2 linked regions of the Elephas maximus indicus genome follow. The protein of the gene in region 1 purifies or fractionates together with the protein of each later gene. This does not show direct contact. Links are inferred from orthologs where the notes say so. Each region holds a gene or a part of one and is shown on either strand. Other genes may lie near its edges.

Region 1 (7,796 bases):
CTAAGTGAAGTGTAAAACACAAAAACAAAAAACTAAACCTGTTGCCTTTGAGTCAATTCCTACTCATAGTGTCACTATAGTGAAGTGTAGTCGTGAGTAAATCAGTTTTTTTCCCCCCTCTATGAGCCAAAGTATTTAACTGTGTTTTATTGACTATGCAAAGGCATTCAGTTGTGTGGGTCATAACAAATTAACAGATAACATTGCGAAGAAGGGGAATTGCAGAACACTTACTTGTGCTCGTGAAGGACCTAAACATAGACCAAGAGACAGTCATTCGAACGGAACAAGGGGATACTGTGTGTTTTAAAGTCAAGAAAGTTGTGGGTCGGGGTTGTATCCTTTTACCATACTTATTCAATCTGTATGCTGAGCAAACAATCTGAGAAACTGAACTATATGAAGAAGAATGAGGCATCAGGATTGGAGGAAGACTCATTTAACAACCTGCGATATGCAGATGACACAACCTTGTTTGCTGAAAGAGGACCTGAAGCACTTACTGATGAAGATCAAAGACTATAGCCTTCAGTATGGATTACACCTCAACATAAAGAAAACAAAAATCCTCACAACTGGACCAATAAGCAACATCATGATAAATGGAGAAAATATTGAAGCTGTCAAGGATTTCATTTTACATGGATTCATACTCAATACCAATGGAGGCAGCAATCAAGAAGTCAAAGTATTACATTGGGCAAATCTGCTGCAAAACACCTTTTTCAAGTGTTGAAAAGCAAAGATGTCACTTTGAGGATGAAAGTGCACCTGACCAAGCCATGGTATTTTCAGTTGCCTCATATGCATGCAAAAGCTGGGCAATAAATAAGGAAGACTGAAGAAGAATTGATGTATTTGAATTATGGTGTTGGTGAAGAATACTGAATACACCATGGACTGCCATAAGAGTGAACAAATCTGTCTTGGAAGAACTACAGCCAGAATGCTCCTTAGAAGCAAGGATGGCAAGACTGCGTCTTACTTACTTTGGACATGTTGTCAGGAGGGATTGATCCCTAGAGAAGGTCATTATGCTTGGTAAAGTACAGGGTCAGCGAAAAAGAGGAAGACCCTCAATGAGATGGACTGGCACAGTGGCTGCAACAATGGGCCAAGCATAACAAGGATTGTGAGGATGGCGCAGGACTGGGCAGTGTTTCGTTCTGTTGCTATCTATGAGTTGGAATCAACTTGACAGTATGTAACGACAACATGAGTCAAAGCAAAAAAATAATTTCATCTCTTTTTATATCTGCGTCATATACAGTCTAGATTTCTAACTCACTCAGAGCTTGGTTTGCCCATATCTGAGAGTATTGAAGATTATTCCATTGGTACTAAATAATAAAGATGGTGATAATGATGGTATTGATAAGAACACCTTACCCAAGGCCACATAGACACCAAGTGAGTTTGGCAGGATTTGAACACAGATTTACCTGTAGTGCCAAAGCCTCTGCTATCGTCACACTGTCACATGGCTCTTTGACCAAGAAATAATGAGGAGAACATGACCTATCACACCAACACTGGCTGTGGTTCATAGGCCTAGACTTAAAAAAAAAAGCATCTGCAAAAGCATGAGTAAATCACGGCCCTGGAGGGATTTACAATACGGGCTTTAATGCAGGGAATCTGTGACAGAGGAATCAAGAGCCAAATGGGACAGTGAGAGAACCAGAGATCTGCAACTCCATGAAGCCACTACACAGTGAAGTCATCAGAGAGACCAGGTCACCCAGTGAAAACTGGAGCCACAGGGGAAACCTAGTTCTGGCTGGGGAAGTGCCCCTGCGGCAGAGAGAGGCCAGAAATGCCTTGGTTCTCCCTTCCTGTCTCCCCCAATCTCCTGCCAGTACTTCCCATTGGCCATACCTAATCCACACATCCAGGAGCCTGGAAAACCTTTATGGGTTCTACGCCTCCTAATACAGAGCGGGGTCAAGTGGGGCAAGGACTGGGTCTGAGGACATAGACCAAAACTGGCACAGCCTGGATTTTGTTGTTGGCTCCTTTAAATAGTAAGCTCCCCTTCCCAACCCCTGCCAAGTATTTTTAAAGGAATTTGTATCAAACCCTTCTTTTTTTTTTTTTAAATCACATAGGACTTTTCTAAAAAAGATCTACTATGAAAACAAGTCCCTGGGTGGTGCAAACGGTTAAATGCTCAACTACTAGCCAAAAGGCTGGCAGTTTGAACACACCCAGAGGTGCCTCGGAAGACAGACCTGGCGATCTGCTTCTGAAAGGTCAGACTTGAAAACCTTATGGAGCAGTTCTACTCTGCACGCATGGTGTGGCCTTGAGTTGGAACTGACTCGTGGCAAACAACAACTATATAAACAGATATCTGTTCATACCTGTAAGTCACTGAATACCGGAAAACAAAGAAACCCTTATTGAACGTCTCTTTGCTAATAGCTAGTAGAAACATTTGCCAGGCTAACAATAAGGAATATGAATTTTGTTTGACTTTTATTATGTGGGAGCTACAATTGGTGTATGGTCATTTGGCTAATGGTTTTCAATTTCTTTGGAAGACTAAATTACTGAAATTTTTTGGGTCTTCTGCATGTTTCTGCATGGTCTGAGCAGCCGGCAAGCTTGTAGTAAGAGTCCTGGACATAATTCTTCAGAAATGTGAAGGTGTTGCAAACTTCTGGATCTCTGAAGGAAGTTCTTGGATAAAGTCCAGTTAGCTAACTCTGGAGACTCACAGCTGCTACTCGTGAACTGATGGACAGTCATACCAAAGGGGGCATTAACGTGCTCTCCAGAGAGAGATGACCAGGCAAGGCATGGGTGGGGTACCTTTCAAACAAATCTGCTCTGTTGCTGACAAGACAGTCAACTGGTTTTTCCTTTCCTCCAAATAGCTTGTGAGCTATAAAAATAGCTGAGGTCTTATTAGATATTGCATTAAAAGAGATTCTGGGCAGATTATATTTGTGTGCTGCCTCACTGTCAGAGGAATTCCAGAAAAACAACTTACAAATGGTGAAGCGGGAGAGCTGTGAGGTTCCAGCTCCAGTAGCACTGAGCAGCAGGACAGCACCAGAGCCTCCTCAGGTAGCCAAGAGGAGCAGGCAGGATGTCTTCTGAGAGCACATCTCCCCCCACTGACAGGATTAAAAAAAAAAAAAAAAAGTTTCAGATCACCTGCATCTTTTGAAGGAGGTGGGTTGGTAGGCTAATTATGTGGTTAAGATCACAGACTTTGGAATATATTTTTCCTTTTAATTTCACAGAACTGTTCCCTCTCTTCTTTCCTTATCCTGTTACCTGAATAAGCCGGTTATCACCCTTCACCTGTCCCACTGTCACAGCCACCGAGGGCTCCCCCAGCCTCTAGGACAGTGTCCACATTCCCGGGCGGGACATTTCACTTGCCTACCTTCCAGCCTCTGTCTAAAGCCTACCTGCCTGCCGGCCACCAGCTCTCCCCATGCTTCTGTTCTGTTCTGGGGCTCACCCACAAGACCAACTTCAAGGCATAATCCAAACACCATGCCCGGGTGAGGTCTTTGTCCGCGGTGTGTCCTGGCTGGGTTCATTGCCCATCCTGGACTTTTGTACCTATTGTCTGCTCTCTGTCTCCCCCAAAGCCACTCACGAGGACAGGCTGTGTCTTATGCCTTTTGTTATTGCCCAACGTCCATCGCCTAGGTCAGAATATCTGGAAAGTATTTTACAGTTTGAAAAGTGTTTTTGCATATTTGCTCAATGAACCGTCACAATGCTTAGGCGGCAATATTTTCTCATTATACAAGCGAGGGAACCGAGGCTCAGAAAGATCAGGTGACTCGAGCATGTTAAACTGTCATGTTCTGCTTTCCTGGGTCCCCGAGGGGCCAGAGAGAAAGCATGGGATTGAGAACTGTACAGGGCTGGGTTTGAATCCGACTCAGCCACTACCTGGCTAAGGAGCCTCAGGGAAGCACTTCACTCCCCTGCGCTCACGTCCGAGGAAAATAATTCCAACTCGGGATTGTTCTGCGGATTTTTTTTTTATGCCTATGAAATGTCTAACAGCGCTTGGCGAGTAGCGGGAACTGTAAATGTGAGTTCCCTTTCTGACCCCAAGCTTGGCGAGCTACTTCTCCTATTTCTACAACAGCTCCTCCTTCTCTGAGCTTCCGAGGGCACTGGCGGGTGCCAACTGGGGAGCGCCGTGTCGGTGTGACGCGATAGCTGCATCGCGTACCCGGCATCCTTAAAGGAACTTGGAGATAACACAGGCATAGCTTGGAAAGGGCAGTGGGCAGAGCGCCGAGGGACCCTGGAAGGCAGGGGTGGAATGGAGGGGCCTGTGGGGGTGTCGGTCCACAAAGGGAAAGCGGGTGTACCGCCCTCGCCCCACCGAGAGGACAACGTTGCTCTCCCACCTCAGTCTCCCCCGCGTGCCCAGTGCTCGCTCTCCACCTCCCGCTCCCTTCCCAGCTCCGACACGGTCTCTAGGGCCTGGAGAAGCCGGGCGAATCGCAGCTCGGGGAGGGGAGGGACAGACCCCGCCCCGCCCCTCTGCCTGCCCCCCGCCAGGGACGGACCCCGCCCTTCTGTCTGCCCCTCCTCCCCCGCCCCGTGCGGAGCCGGCCGGCGCTGGTGGTGGCGGGACATGCGCAGAGCGCCGGGCGCAGGCGGCGGTGGGCCGGGCGCGCGCTCGTACTTTCTCTCCTGCGGGAGCGGCGGGCGGGCGGGCGGCGCTGCGGGGGGCGCGGCCGGCCGGCGTGGGAGCGGCGCGAGGCGCCCGTCAGCCCCAGCTCATGGACGCGGACCGTGTGGCTGGGACCGCCGTGGCGGCGGGACCCTCGAGTCCGCAGCGCCGCTTCTAGGGGATGCGAGCGGCAGAACTTGAGCTGCGGTGACCCGAGCCGGGGGAGAGCGAGGCAGGCGGCGGCGGCGGCGGCGAGTCCCCAGGGACCCTCGGGCCGCGGGTGCGGGTGAGGGCAGCGGCGGCGCGGGGGCTGGGGGCAGAAGTGATGCGAGCGCGCCCGGGGAAACTGCCCGCGGCCACCAGGAGCATCTGCCGCCGGCGCCACTGCGCGCGGCCCGGGACCCGGCCATGGAGGCGCTGAACGGCCCCGCGGGCGGCGGCTCCCCGGACGCGAAGCCGCAGCCGCCTGGCCAGCACCACCGCCACCACCACCTCCACCCGCTGGCCGAGAGGAAGCGGCTGCACCGCGCACCCTCGCCCGCCAGACCCTTCCTCAAGGACCTGCTTGTGCGGCCAGCGGCGCACGGGCCGGCTGCCCCCTCCTCGGCTCGGGCCCCGCCGCCCGCCGCCCCGCGCTCGCCCAGCCTTGCGGGCAAGACGCCGTACTCGCCCGTGTCCCTGGCTGCGCCGGGCCGCCTTTCTCGGCGCGGCGGCGGCGCCCCCGGGGCGAAAGATAAGCCCCCGGCGGGCGCCGGGGCCAGGGCGGCGGGCGGCGCCAAGGCCGCCCCAGGCCCCAGGAGGGCGGCGCGCGCGGCGCCCGCCGAGCTGCTGCCCCGGTCTGGGAAGCCGCCACCGCTCGGAACCGAGCCGGCGCTGGCAGCTGCCAAGAACCGCAAGGCCCGGCGCGGCTCTGGGCCCCCCGGCGCGCCTCCGGCTCGGGCCGCCGAGCCCCCGTCGTCCGCCCGGCTCCCTGCCGTGACCCTCCCAGTGACCTCGGCGGCCGCCGCTGGCGCGCGCATCAGCTCCACGGATAGCAGCTCCGACCTCTCCGACTGCCCATCCGAGCCCCTGTCGGACGAACAGCGCCCGCTCCCCGCCGCCAGTAGCGACGCCGAATCGGGCACCGGCTCCAGCGACCGGGAGCCCCCGCGAGGAGCCCTCGCGCCGAGCCCCGCAGCCCAGGGCGCACCGCCGGGCAGCCCTGAGTCCCCCGCGCTGCTCGCAGCGTACCCCGGCGCCAGCACTTGTCCTGGGGGCCGGAGCAGCCCGGGCGGGGTCTCTGAGGGGTTCCCTGGGTCCGGCCCGGCAGACGATGCTCGGGGCCGCGCGCCACTAGAGCGAGCGGCCCCCGGGAGGGGGGAAGGAAGCGGTGGGACCCCCAAGGAGCCCAGCCTGGACGAGCAGCCCCGGATGGTGCCAGCGGCGGCGGAGGAGGAGCTGCTGCGGGAGATGGAGGAGCTGCGCTCGGAGAACGACTATCTCAAGGTGAGCGGCGTGTCCCGGGGCCGGATGCCGCAGAGATCCACGAGCACGCCCTCGGGGCTGTACGAGCGCCTTCTCGGTCTCCCTTCCTCCCCGCACATGCTGGGCGCTGGGACCTTGAGCCAGAACTTCGGAAGGCTCAGAACCCCAAGACTTGTGGGGCCCAGCCAGTGTGCGTCTACGCTGCTCTTTCTAGAAGTTTTGCGTATACCGTGGCACCTCTTGACGTTTGGGGGTACATATTGGGTACCTCAGCCGATCTTCCCGTCCCCTGTGTGCCCACCCTCACCTGTGGGAGGGTTCCCCCAGCGAAGGAGCGCGGTCCGGGAAATTGCGTGTTTGCGTCGGTTTCGGCCACCGGTTCTCCTGCCGGCGGAAAAGAGTGAGGTGCCTGCGGGATCTCCTCGGGGCCCCTGTGGCACAGAAAGGACCCCACCGTTTTCGGGGGGTAAACCTTAAGTCCAGGGGTCTCTTGAGTGTTCCGCTGGCGGGTCCTTTGTGAGTGTCCTGAAGCCGGGCATTTCTGTGTTAGGAGAGCCCGATTCCTTCTTACGCAAAGACTTTCGAGGGAATCGCAGCCTCCGCCGCCCTGCCTCTTGAGTCCTCTGGGGCAAGGCCTGTTGATGATGGCCTCCCGGTGTTGTTAGCATTAAGGCACTTAGACCGACTCCATCTTTTCTCAGAGAGGAGGCTGGTACTGCAGAACAGAGGGGCTAGGCGACACTGGCCTGCCAGAGGACCGAGGTGCGGCTGTTAGAGTAGTAAATAACTCGGTGGTACCTGTCAAGATTCTGATAAATATCCGCCCAAACCGAGGGAGTGGCCTTCCTCCCTCGGTGGGTAGTGTGATTTGAGCTGTTTTCTCAGATAGGCCTACCCCATTTAGGGCCAGCCTTTGGCTCCAGCCCTACGGCCTAGGTTTTTCAGGTGAATGGTGGTGGCGTGTGCTGTTCAGACTGGGATGAGAGCGCCTTAGCTGCTGGGTAGTCCTAAACCTTAGCCTTATCAGGAGCTGCTCTAACCAAGTGTTGTGGAAAAGGGAAACAGTGAGGCAGAAAAAGCGAGGTGAGAAGAGAGCAGATGGGCACCTGGGTGCGATGTTCCAAGTTGACACATTGGCTTTTGCCACCTCTTACATAACAGACAGGAGAGTGAAATCCCAGAGTGCTGAAGAGAAAGGGCAGCTGTGTTGTGTGTCACTCTATCAGGAAAACAGCCCTTTGCAAATCCTCAACACAGGAGCGCTCTCTGTAAGCTAACATGAGCTAATCTTGTTCATTTTTGTAGCCCCAGTCTTAGCATAATCCCTGGCCACATGACTGCCGCCAGACCAAAACCCAGTGCCGTGGAGTCGGAATGACTGCTGAGCAACAGACAATTGAGTTTCTTTAGAAAAAAAAAAAAAAAGTTCTCCGTACACTTCTGATGTTAAGGTAGCCAACCCGACATCACTTCAGGGTTCCTCTCTGGATAACTTGCTATTTGCCTAATTTTTTCACTGTTAGATGCTCAGTGAATGAAATGGGCTTCTGCCCTGGTGCCCACCCTGATGTATTTGATATGTCAGTTGATCCTCAACAACACAGGAGACTATGTTATCATAACCCCAATTTCATAGACAAGGATATTGAAAACCCAGTAAGGTCAAATGACTTGC
Region 2 (7,932 bases), on another chromosome or scaffold:
GTCCCCTTTTCTTTCTGCACTCATTCCCTGGGTAATCTCATCCCGTCCCATGGCTTTAAATGCCATCTCGGTGCCACACTCCCACATTGATGTCTCCAGCCCAGAGATTGATGTCTCCCACCCTGTTCCCACCCCCACTAGCAGGGCCTGACCTTCTCTGATCTTCGACTTCCATATCAGTAAACTGGGGGAAACAACAGTGTCTAACTGCTCACTGTGTAAGAATTCACTGTGAAAATGCCCACACAATGCACAGCTCTCAACACATGTTAAAAATGAACAAAGGGGAACAAGACCGGAAGTTCCTAGTGATGGTCGGGGAGGTGGCGGGGGATAGAGGGGTAGTAAATAAACATTCTATTTCATCTATTCTTAAGACATTTATTTTTACATCCAAACATCTTTGGAATTTGGATGCATCGTACAACTGATGATGTCATAAACTCAGTGGAATATGGTAGATGTCAGTAGTGATATGGATGGAAATTCATACATGGAAATTCAGGGATGTCAAGAACAGGGTAAAGCTTGGCAATGAGAGGGTATCTAATGAGTCAGAGGGCATCATGGGTCTTGCCTCACTCCAGGCGTCTGACTCTTGATCGGAAGGCAATTCCAGACTGTCCCCCACTCTTCCCTACAGGCACCTGCCCAGAACCAATGTGCTCTCGGGCTCCGCTGGTTGGGAGAGAAAGAAGAGGAAGAACCACAATATCACGGAGGTGACAATTAAGGATGTCTTCTCCTCCAGCACCTTTAACTCCTCTTGGCTTCTTTCCTCCCTACCTATGGGTACTGGGGGAGAGCTACCCAAAGGACCCTTGTACCTGCAAGAGCTAGAATCCCAGAACTCTTGTGGGCACCGCAGCTGTTCCTGGAGGACTGATCCTATGGCTTGGGCCTGTGGTAGGTGCCTTTACTTTTGTATTTGTTCCGCTAAAAGCTGCTCAGGCTGGAAAACTTGGAATCATCCTCAACTCCTCTCTCTCACGTATCTCAAACCCAACCCATCACAAAGTCCTGTTGGCTCCCCCTTCCAAATAGATCCGAAATTTGACCACTTCTTATTACTTTCATTGCTGCTGCCTGGTCCAAGCCACTGTCACTGCTCACTTGAGTTACTGCAAAACCCTCCTTCCTGGTTCCAGTTTTCTGTTCTTGCCCTGTCCGTCCCTTCATTCTCAATCTAGCAATCGGTGAGAGCATGGCACTCCAGCGGCTGTCTTAGTTATCTAGTGCTGCTGTAAGAGAAATACCACAAGCGGATGGCCTTAACAAAGAGAAGTTCATTCTCTCACAGTCTAGTAGGCTACAAGTCCAAATTTGGGCATCAGCTCCAGGAGAAAGTTTCTCTTTAGCGGTTCTGGAAGAAGGTACTGGTCATCAATCTTCCCTGGTGGAGGAGCTTCTCAGTGCAGGGACCCCAGGTCCGAAGGACACACAATGCTGCCAGTGCTTCTTTCTTGATCATATGAGGTTCCCAACTCTCTGCTCACTTCTCTTTTCTTTCATCTCTTGTAAAATAAAAGCTGATGCAGGCCACACCCCAGGGAATCTCCTTTATTACACTGGATCAGGAATGTGACCTGAGTAAGGGTGTTACATCCCACCCTAATCCTCTTTAACATAACCCAATCTCACCTCATTAACCACAGCAGAGATTAGGATTTACAACACATAGGAAAATTACATCAATCACAAAAATGGAGGACAATCACACAATACTGGGAATCATGGCCTAACCAAGTTGACACATACTTTTAGAGGTCACAATTCAATTCATGACAGGCTCCCATCTCCCTCTGAGGGAAAGCCAAAGCAACGGCCCTCCAGGGCTGGATCCCCATCACCTCTCTGCCTTCATCTCCTACTACTCATCTCCTTGCTCACCTGCCTCCAGTCTTGTTGGCATCTTTGTTCCTCAAACAGGCCAGGTTAGCTCCTGCCCCAGGGCCTTACCACTGACTGTTCTCTCTCCCTGGGATGCTTTTCCTTGAGACTCACTCCCTCACCTCCTTCAAGTCTTCGCTTAAATGTCACCTTCTGAGTGAAGCCTACACTGACCACCTTAGTACTGCAGCCTGTTTGCCACCCCCTGCTTTCCTGATCCCCCTTACCTGGCTCTCTCTCTCCCCTTCCCCGCCATGGCATTTCCATTATGTTTATCACCTGTCTTCCCTTCTATGGGCAGTGTAAAGCTCCCCGTGGGCAGAGAGCTTTCTCTGTTTTGTTAGCTGGTATACTAGAACCGTGCCTTGCACATAGCAGATGTCAATAGAAATTTATTCAGTAAATGAATTAATCTGCAAATTAGAGAGGGGTAAGTGTGGCAATAATTAATCTTTAAGCAAGGCTAGGTGGCCTCGGGGATTTGAGAAGGTGTCATTTGACCTGGATCTTGGAGTGCATCTGGGAGCTGGGGTCAGTGACAGGCAGTCCAGGTGAAGGGATCAGCCTGAACAGGGCAGGAGTAGGGGAGGGGTCAAGCAATCATCCCTAGCTGGAAAGTATATCAGCAAGGTAAGTTGAGGTGAGAGTGTGCAAAGTTTCAAATGCAGGCTAAAGGCTTTATCCTACAGCCAGGACTGGCTACATAATTTGTAGGGTTCAGTGCAAAACGAAAACGCAGGGGGCCCCCTTATTTAAAATGTCAAGATGATGAAAGCATTAAGCCAAGCACAGGGCCCTTCTAAGAGCAGGGCTTTGTGCAACTGCATAAGTCACACGCCCATGAAGCCAGCCTTGTCTCTAGACCACAGGAGACCTTGCGACGACCTTCTAGCAGGGCAGAGATGGGACTGGAGCTGGACTGTAGGAAGATTATTTTGGCATGACTGGTGTGGTAGGTTGGGAGTCAAGGGAGACCACAGGCAGCTCTGAGCTCAGCCAAAGATGGGGTGGGTGGTGGGAAGGGGGAGGGCTGGCAGTCAGAGGGCAGAGGTGAGGCAGGGGTTACAGCTTGAGTGAGTAGAAGCATAGAGGAGGTAAAATTTACTTAGATGAGCATGGGCCAGGGAGAGACCCTGAGTCCCATTTCCTTTGCTCCTCCAATCCCTTCCTTTTCCTGCCCCAGGCCTGAGAGGTGGTATCTGGCACAGCAATCACCATGTGGTCCCTGTCTCCCTTTGGCCACCAGAGGGCAGATTATTCTCATGAATTTTTTGAGGAAATTAGGGTAGGGGGAGTGGGAGGTAACGCTCTCCTTACCTCTTCCTCTTTTTTCCTCACCTCCCTTTGTGCTTCATCATCAACTTCTTCCCCAATGGCTGGGTGCCTGAATGGAGGTAGGGTGGGGTGTGGAGAGGTGTCCAAGAGTCTCTTGCAATTATTAAGACTGTGGGTTGTACCTGTTGCCTTAGGAAGTATTTTTCACACCCCTCCCGTTGCATCTGTTTGGCTGCCTATTTCTCTAACTTATGTGGCCAAGGGCTCTACTCAGATGCTCCACCTGAGAGTTAAAGTCAAATGTCAGAGGCCCAAGCAGCACCTTCTCCATAACCGCTGGAGCCTCCTCTGCTTCTGTACCTTTGAGGATGTATTGCTTGAGTCTGGTCTCTGGCTCCTGTGAAGCTGCTGGCTCCTGCCCACCTTAAGCGGCTGTTGAGCCCCGGGGCATGAGGAGGATGGACAAGTTCCAACATGTCCGGAGTATGATGGGTGGGTGCAGCTTGGAGCCAGAGAAATCAGACCTGTCTACAGCCTCTCCTTGGTGAAAAGGTCCAGGGGGAGGTGAGGAGTGGGCTCGGGTTGCCCACATGGGCTTCCTGTTAAGTCAGGGACTCTCCTAAGCTGGGAGGGTCCTCAGAACTCGTGAATCCCATGACCTCACTTTACTGTTGGGGAAATAGGTCCAGACAAAGAAAGGAACTTCTGGTGCCCATTCTTTGTGCCATCCTGAGGAATTCTCATTTTCAACCAGTTTCTCTTTCCCATGAGTTTTCTCTGTCTTAGATGGGATAACTGAAATGTGCATTAGAATGAGAAAGTCTCTCCTATCCAATCTTGCAGTGACGCTTAAAATGGTAAGTAGAATTCAAAGATATTATTTAGAATGTCAATGCTGGAACAAAGGCATGGATTCTCAGTTTACGGATGTGGGGCCAAGCTCAGAGGTGTTACGTGATTTTCCCAAGATCACACAGCAGTTTCACTCTGCAGAGCTCGGGCTGGGGCTCCTGTTTTCTGAGTGTTCTGCTGGGGGGACCTCCGGATCCCCCCGCAGCTGGGTGCGAAGGACGCTGACCTGGTGTCTGCCCGGGACCATGAGGATCCCTGACTAGTTGTGGGGCTAGGTGGATGGATGGATAAATAGAAGCCAAGACAGGCGGATGGCAGGCAGACAGGTAATAGACTAAGGCTGCATGTGGCAGGTGACACACACGTTGATAGATAGGTTGGATGATAAACGCGAAGATGGATCTTAGGAGCTGACTGACAGAGGGACGAACGGACACGCACACGGGCCAATCGCAGGAACGGCTAACAGCTTTATTTCTTCTACTTAGTCAAATAATCGCGCACGGTTGCCCACGCTCCATGTTCAAGCTTTGAAAATACCGGAAAACTGGCGGAAACAAACGAAGAGACAGACTCTGACCACCCCGGGGGACGACCGGACTTTCGCCCCGCCTCGGGTGTTGCCGGAAATGGGCGACGACCGCCCTCGATTACGGGGCGGGGCGGGGGCGTGGCCGACTCACAGCACGCGGAGGTGCTTCGGGTGTTTCCGAAAACTACCGAGAGCCGGTTTGAAGTGGGCGGGGAAAGGCCGGTGGGCGTGGCTGGATGGCTCTGGAGCGCCTGGAGTTTTTTTCGTGGATTTCCGCAAACAGAGTCGAAACCTGGGCTTCGGAGTCGAAGAGGCGCGCGCGCCCCGGGGCTTACCTTCTTCGGGTGTTTCCGGAACTCACCCGTAGTTCGTGGCTGGGAGGAGGAGGCCCGCCCCCCTCCCGTTCCTGGTCGCTTCGGATGTTTCCGGCTGCTGCCGGCGGAAAGAGCCGAGGGCCGGCGGTGGTGGCGGCCATGTTGGGAGCAGCAGGTCCGGCGGCGGCAGCCTGTGTGCCGGGCGCGGAGCAGTGCCGCTGAGGGCAGGGGAGGAGCGAGGCAGGCGGCCGGCTGCGGCGGCAGAGAGTAGGCGGAGCGGCGCGGCCCGGCCGAAAGGCGGCACAGCCCAGCCGGGGGTCGGGGGGGTGCGGTCCGGAGCCGCTCGGAGCCGGCGCGGCCTAGCCCGAGCGGCGCATCCCCGGGCTGGCGTGAGCGGCTGCCCGGCCTCCCCGCACCCCCGGCCGGGGCCCATGCGGCGGGTGCCCCTGCTGTGAGAAGCCCCGCCCGGCCGGGCTCCGCGCCTTTCCTTCCCTCCCTTCCTCCAAGCTTCTCGGTTCCCTCCCCTGAGATACCGGCGCCATGTCCAGCGCCCGGACCCCCCTACCCACGCTGAACGAGAGGGACACGGAGCAGGTAAGGAGCCCCGAGGGCTCCCCGAATTCTCTGGCTGGGCCCCTGCACCTTACGGAGCCTCCTCCCTCCTCTTCCATCCTGCAAGCTCGGCTGCCCTGTCATCTGGCTTCCGGCCCCGCACATCCCCCTTCCGAGTCCTGTCCTGGGACCCACCTCGTCCTGACTGCAGGCTGCACACTTGTCTTTCTGCCAGCCCCCCTTTCCTCTCACCGCCCTCCTGCGCTCTTCCGTGTCACATCCCCAGCTTCCCTTTCTCTTCCTTTTTTTCTCTCAGGGGCCTTTCTGGTCTTTCTCCACCCACGCTTAAAGCAGCCACCCTCCTGCTCCTCGAATAGCACCCCACGATTTGTCACAGATCTTTGTCCACCCCTTCTTCCATCTCCCTAGTCTGGCTTCCCCTCTGCCCTCACCGGTTCTCCCAGTCCCCGGTTCTCTCCCTCAGGGTCCTTGCCCCGGAGTGTGTTCTGATTCCTATCCCCTTTCAGTTCCCCAGCTTTTTCTACCCTGCTTCTTCCTTCTCCAAACTGTGCACTCCCTCTTGCTTGCAACCCACCAGCTCCACCCTCATCACCTTTCCAAGTCGTTCGCCTACTCTTTGCTCATCACTTTCCCTTCTTTTCTCCTGGAGCGCTCTGTTTCCTGGCGCTGGCATTTGTTGCTTCCGTGTTTCCCATACGGCTGCCATGCGCATAGATTTCCCACAGGTTGTCATCGGCGTTCCAGTTATCACTCTCTTGTGAGTCTTTGGATCCCTCGTGTAACCCTCCCTGGGGTCTGACGTTTCTGCCCCTCTGCCTCCTCTTCCTCACTGGCAGTGTTTTACCAGCCTTCTCCCGGGGCTCTTCCTACTGGCGGAAAGGCACTTGCTATTTCAGTCCCACTGTATTAACACAACCTGTTGCTCAGTCCTTTCCGTCCCTCGCTGCATCACCGGCCTTGCCTTGCGTTGTCATAAACAGCAACGCAAACCATGATGCCTTCCTGTCTCGTCCCTCCTGTTTCTGTCCCTTTTCATAGTATCTTACCCTTTGCTTGTGGCTTTCCTGTTTCACTACTCACTGCATCTTCCTTATTATGCCTCTTAATCAGTATCGCTTTTCATCTCCATGTCAGTCTCTTGCCTTTTTCACATGATATTTATTTTACCCACATGTGGCTCTCTGCATCCCCTTCCTATTGGCTAATCTTTGTAACTCCCAGTCCAGGAACTTTGCATGCTAGTTTCTTGAGCATGCAAGGACCCCTCAGCCTCAGGACCCCACAGGCTTCCCCTCCTGCTGGCAATCACTGCAGTAGATTGTCACCCAAGCCTTAGCCTTTTCTGTGTCATCACATCTCTGAGCTGAGCGGCGTCCACTTTCCACCCCTCCCCTTTCTTTCACCATCTCCGGTTGCCCTTGCTGACTCCTCTGTGGAGAGTCCCCTGCCTGTCACACCCTTCTTGGTGGAGAACTTTTACTAGGCCAAAAACTTGACTAGGGAAAGGAGCTCTGCTCCCTGGGGGCTGCAGTGCTTTTTGCATCCTTTCCACTCATCAGCTTCTTAATGGTTCCCTCTTCTCTTCTTTTTTCATATCCTGATAGAACCACTGTTATGTTCTCTTGCCTGTTAACATCTTCCATGGTTTTCATGCTTTTCCTATTTTGTTACCTACCCCCTCACTCTTGTCAACTGGGTAGTTAAGAACTCAAGAGGAGTTCTGGAGTTACAGAGAGGATTTTTTCCTGCAGTGGTTGACGCTTTTATTACTGATGGATTGGTTGCTTTTGGGGGTGAAATAGGGGCTGAGAAGGAGGGATGGTCGGTTTCTATTTCCTCACTGGGTTTGGCAACATGGGACTGAGGGCTTTGGAAACAGAGGGGCATGGTTCAGATCTCACAGTTTTTCAACCTTCCCCTGCCTGCCAGCCGTTTCTCTCTGCCTCCTGGGAACTATTCTCTCTAGGCCCTCTCTCACAACCTTTGTTTTAGCAGGTTGTCTCTGCTTAACCAGAGAACTTTCCCAGACTGTTGATTATGAGTTGGTAGGAGGAGGCCAAGTGACTGACTGGACTGGCACCCTCAGGCGTGTGGGGAGTGGAGATGGAGTGCCTCCTCTCTCCACAAGGCTGTGGGGCATTGTGTTCAGCAAAGGAGAGTAGCAGACTGCCGCAATGTGGTTTCTTTGTGCTGCATACTAAATGTAAATGTCGTTGCCAGTATTCTTTAAAACAAGAAAAAACATTAGCAGCAGCTCTTCTAGACACAAGGCCAGGGCTGCCAGAAGCGTTGGCTTCCCCTGGAATAGATCATGCCACCAGGTAAGAGCAAGAAACCTCTTGGTGCTGTTGCGATTTTAGTTAAAATTGTCATGGAAACTCAGTCTTGTGGTAAGAAGGCTTCCTGTCTCTCCTCGGCCTTAATGTTATGAAATAAAAAGAAAGGGATTTGGTTGGGCTGATTCCTTACCCCAAAGGTCCTCCATCGCCTCATTTA

What was found.
Region 2: the proteins of MTCL1 (region 1) and MARK2 purify together in Homo sapiens (affinity purification with mass spectrometry; 5 studies listed by BioGRID and IntAct, with this or other methods). This does not show direct contact. The link is inferred for Elephas maximus indicus from reciprocal best matches to the Homo sapiens genes MTCL1 and MARK2.

The regions. Positions count from the first base shown.
Region 1 is NC_064829.1:14,791,788-14,799,583, reverse strand, and holds the start of MTCL1 (microtubule cross-linking factor 1), read left to right. Parts: upstream 1-4,700; 5' UTR 4,701-5,065; coding exon 5,066-6,142; intron 6,143-7,796. UniProt on the Homo sapiens protein: Microtubule-associated factor involved in the late phase of epithelial polarization and microtubule dynamics regulation.
Region 2 is NC_064825.1:127,035,923-127,043,854, forward strand, and holds the start of MARK2 (serine/threonine-protein kinase MARK2), read left to right. Parts: upstream 1-4,849; 5' UTR 4,850-5,403; coding exon 5,404-5,457; intron 5,458-5,475; exon of another isoform or gene 5,476-7,932. UniProt on the Homo sapiens protein: Serine/threonine-protein kinase. Involved in cell polarity and microtubule dynamics regulation. Phosphorylates CRTC2/TORC2, DCX, HDAC7, KIF13B, MAP2, MAP4 and RAB11FIP2. Phosphorylates the microtubule-associated protein MAPT/TAU.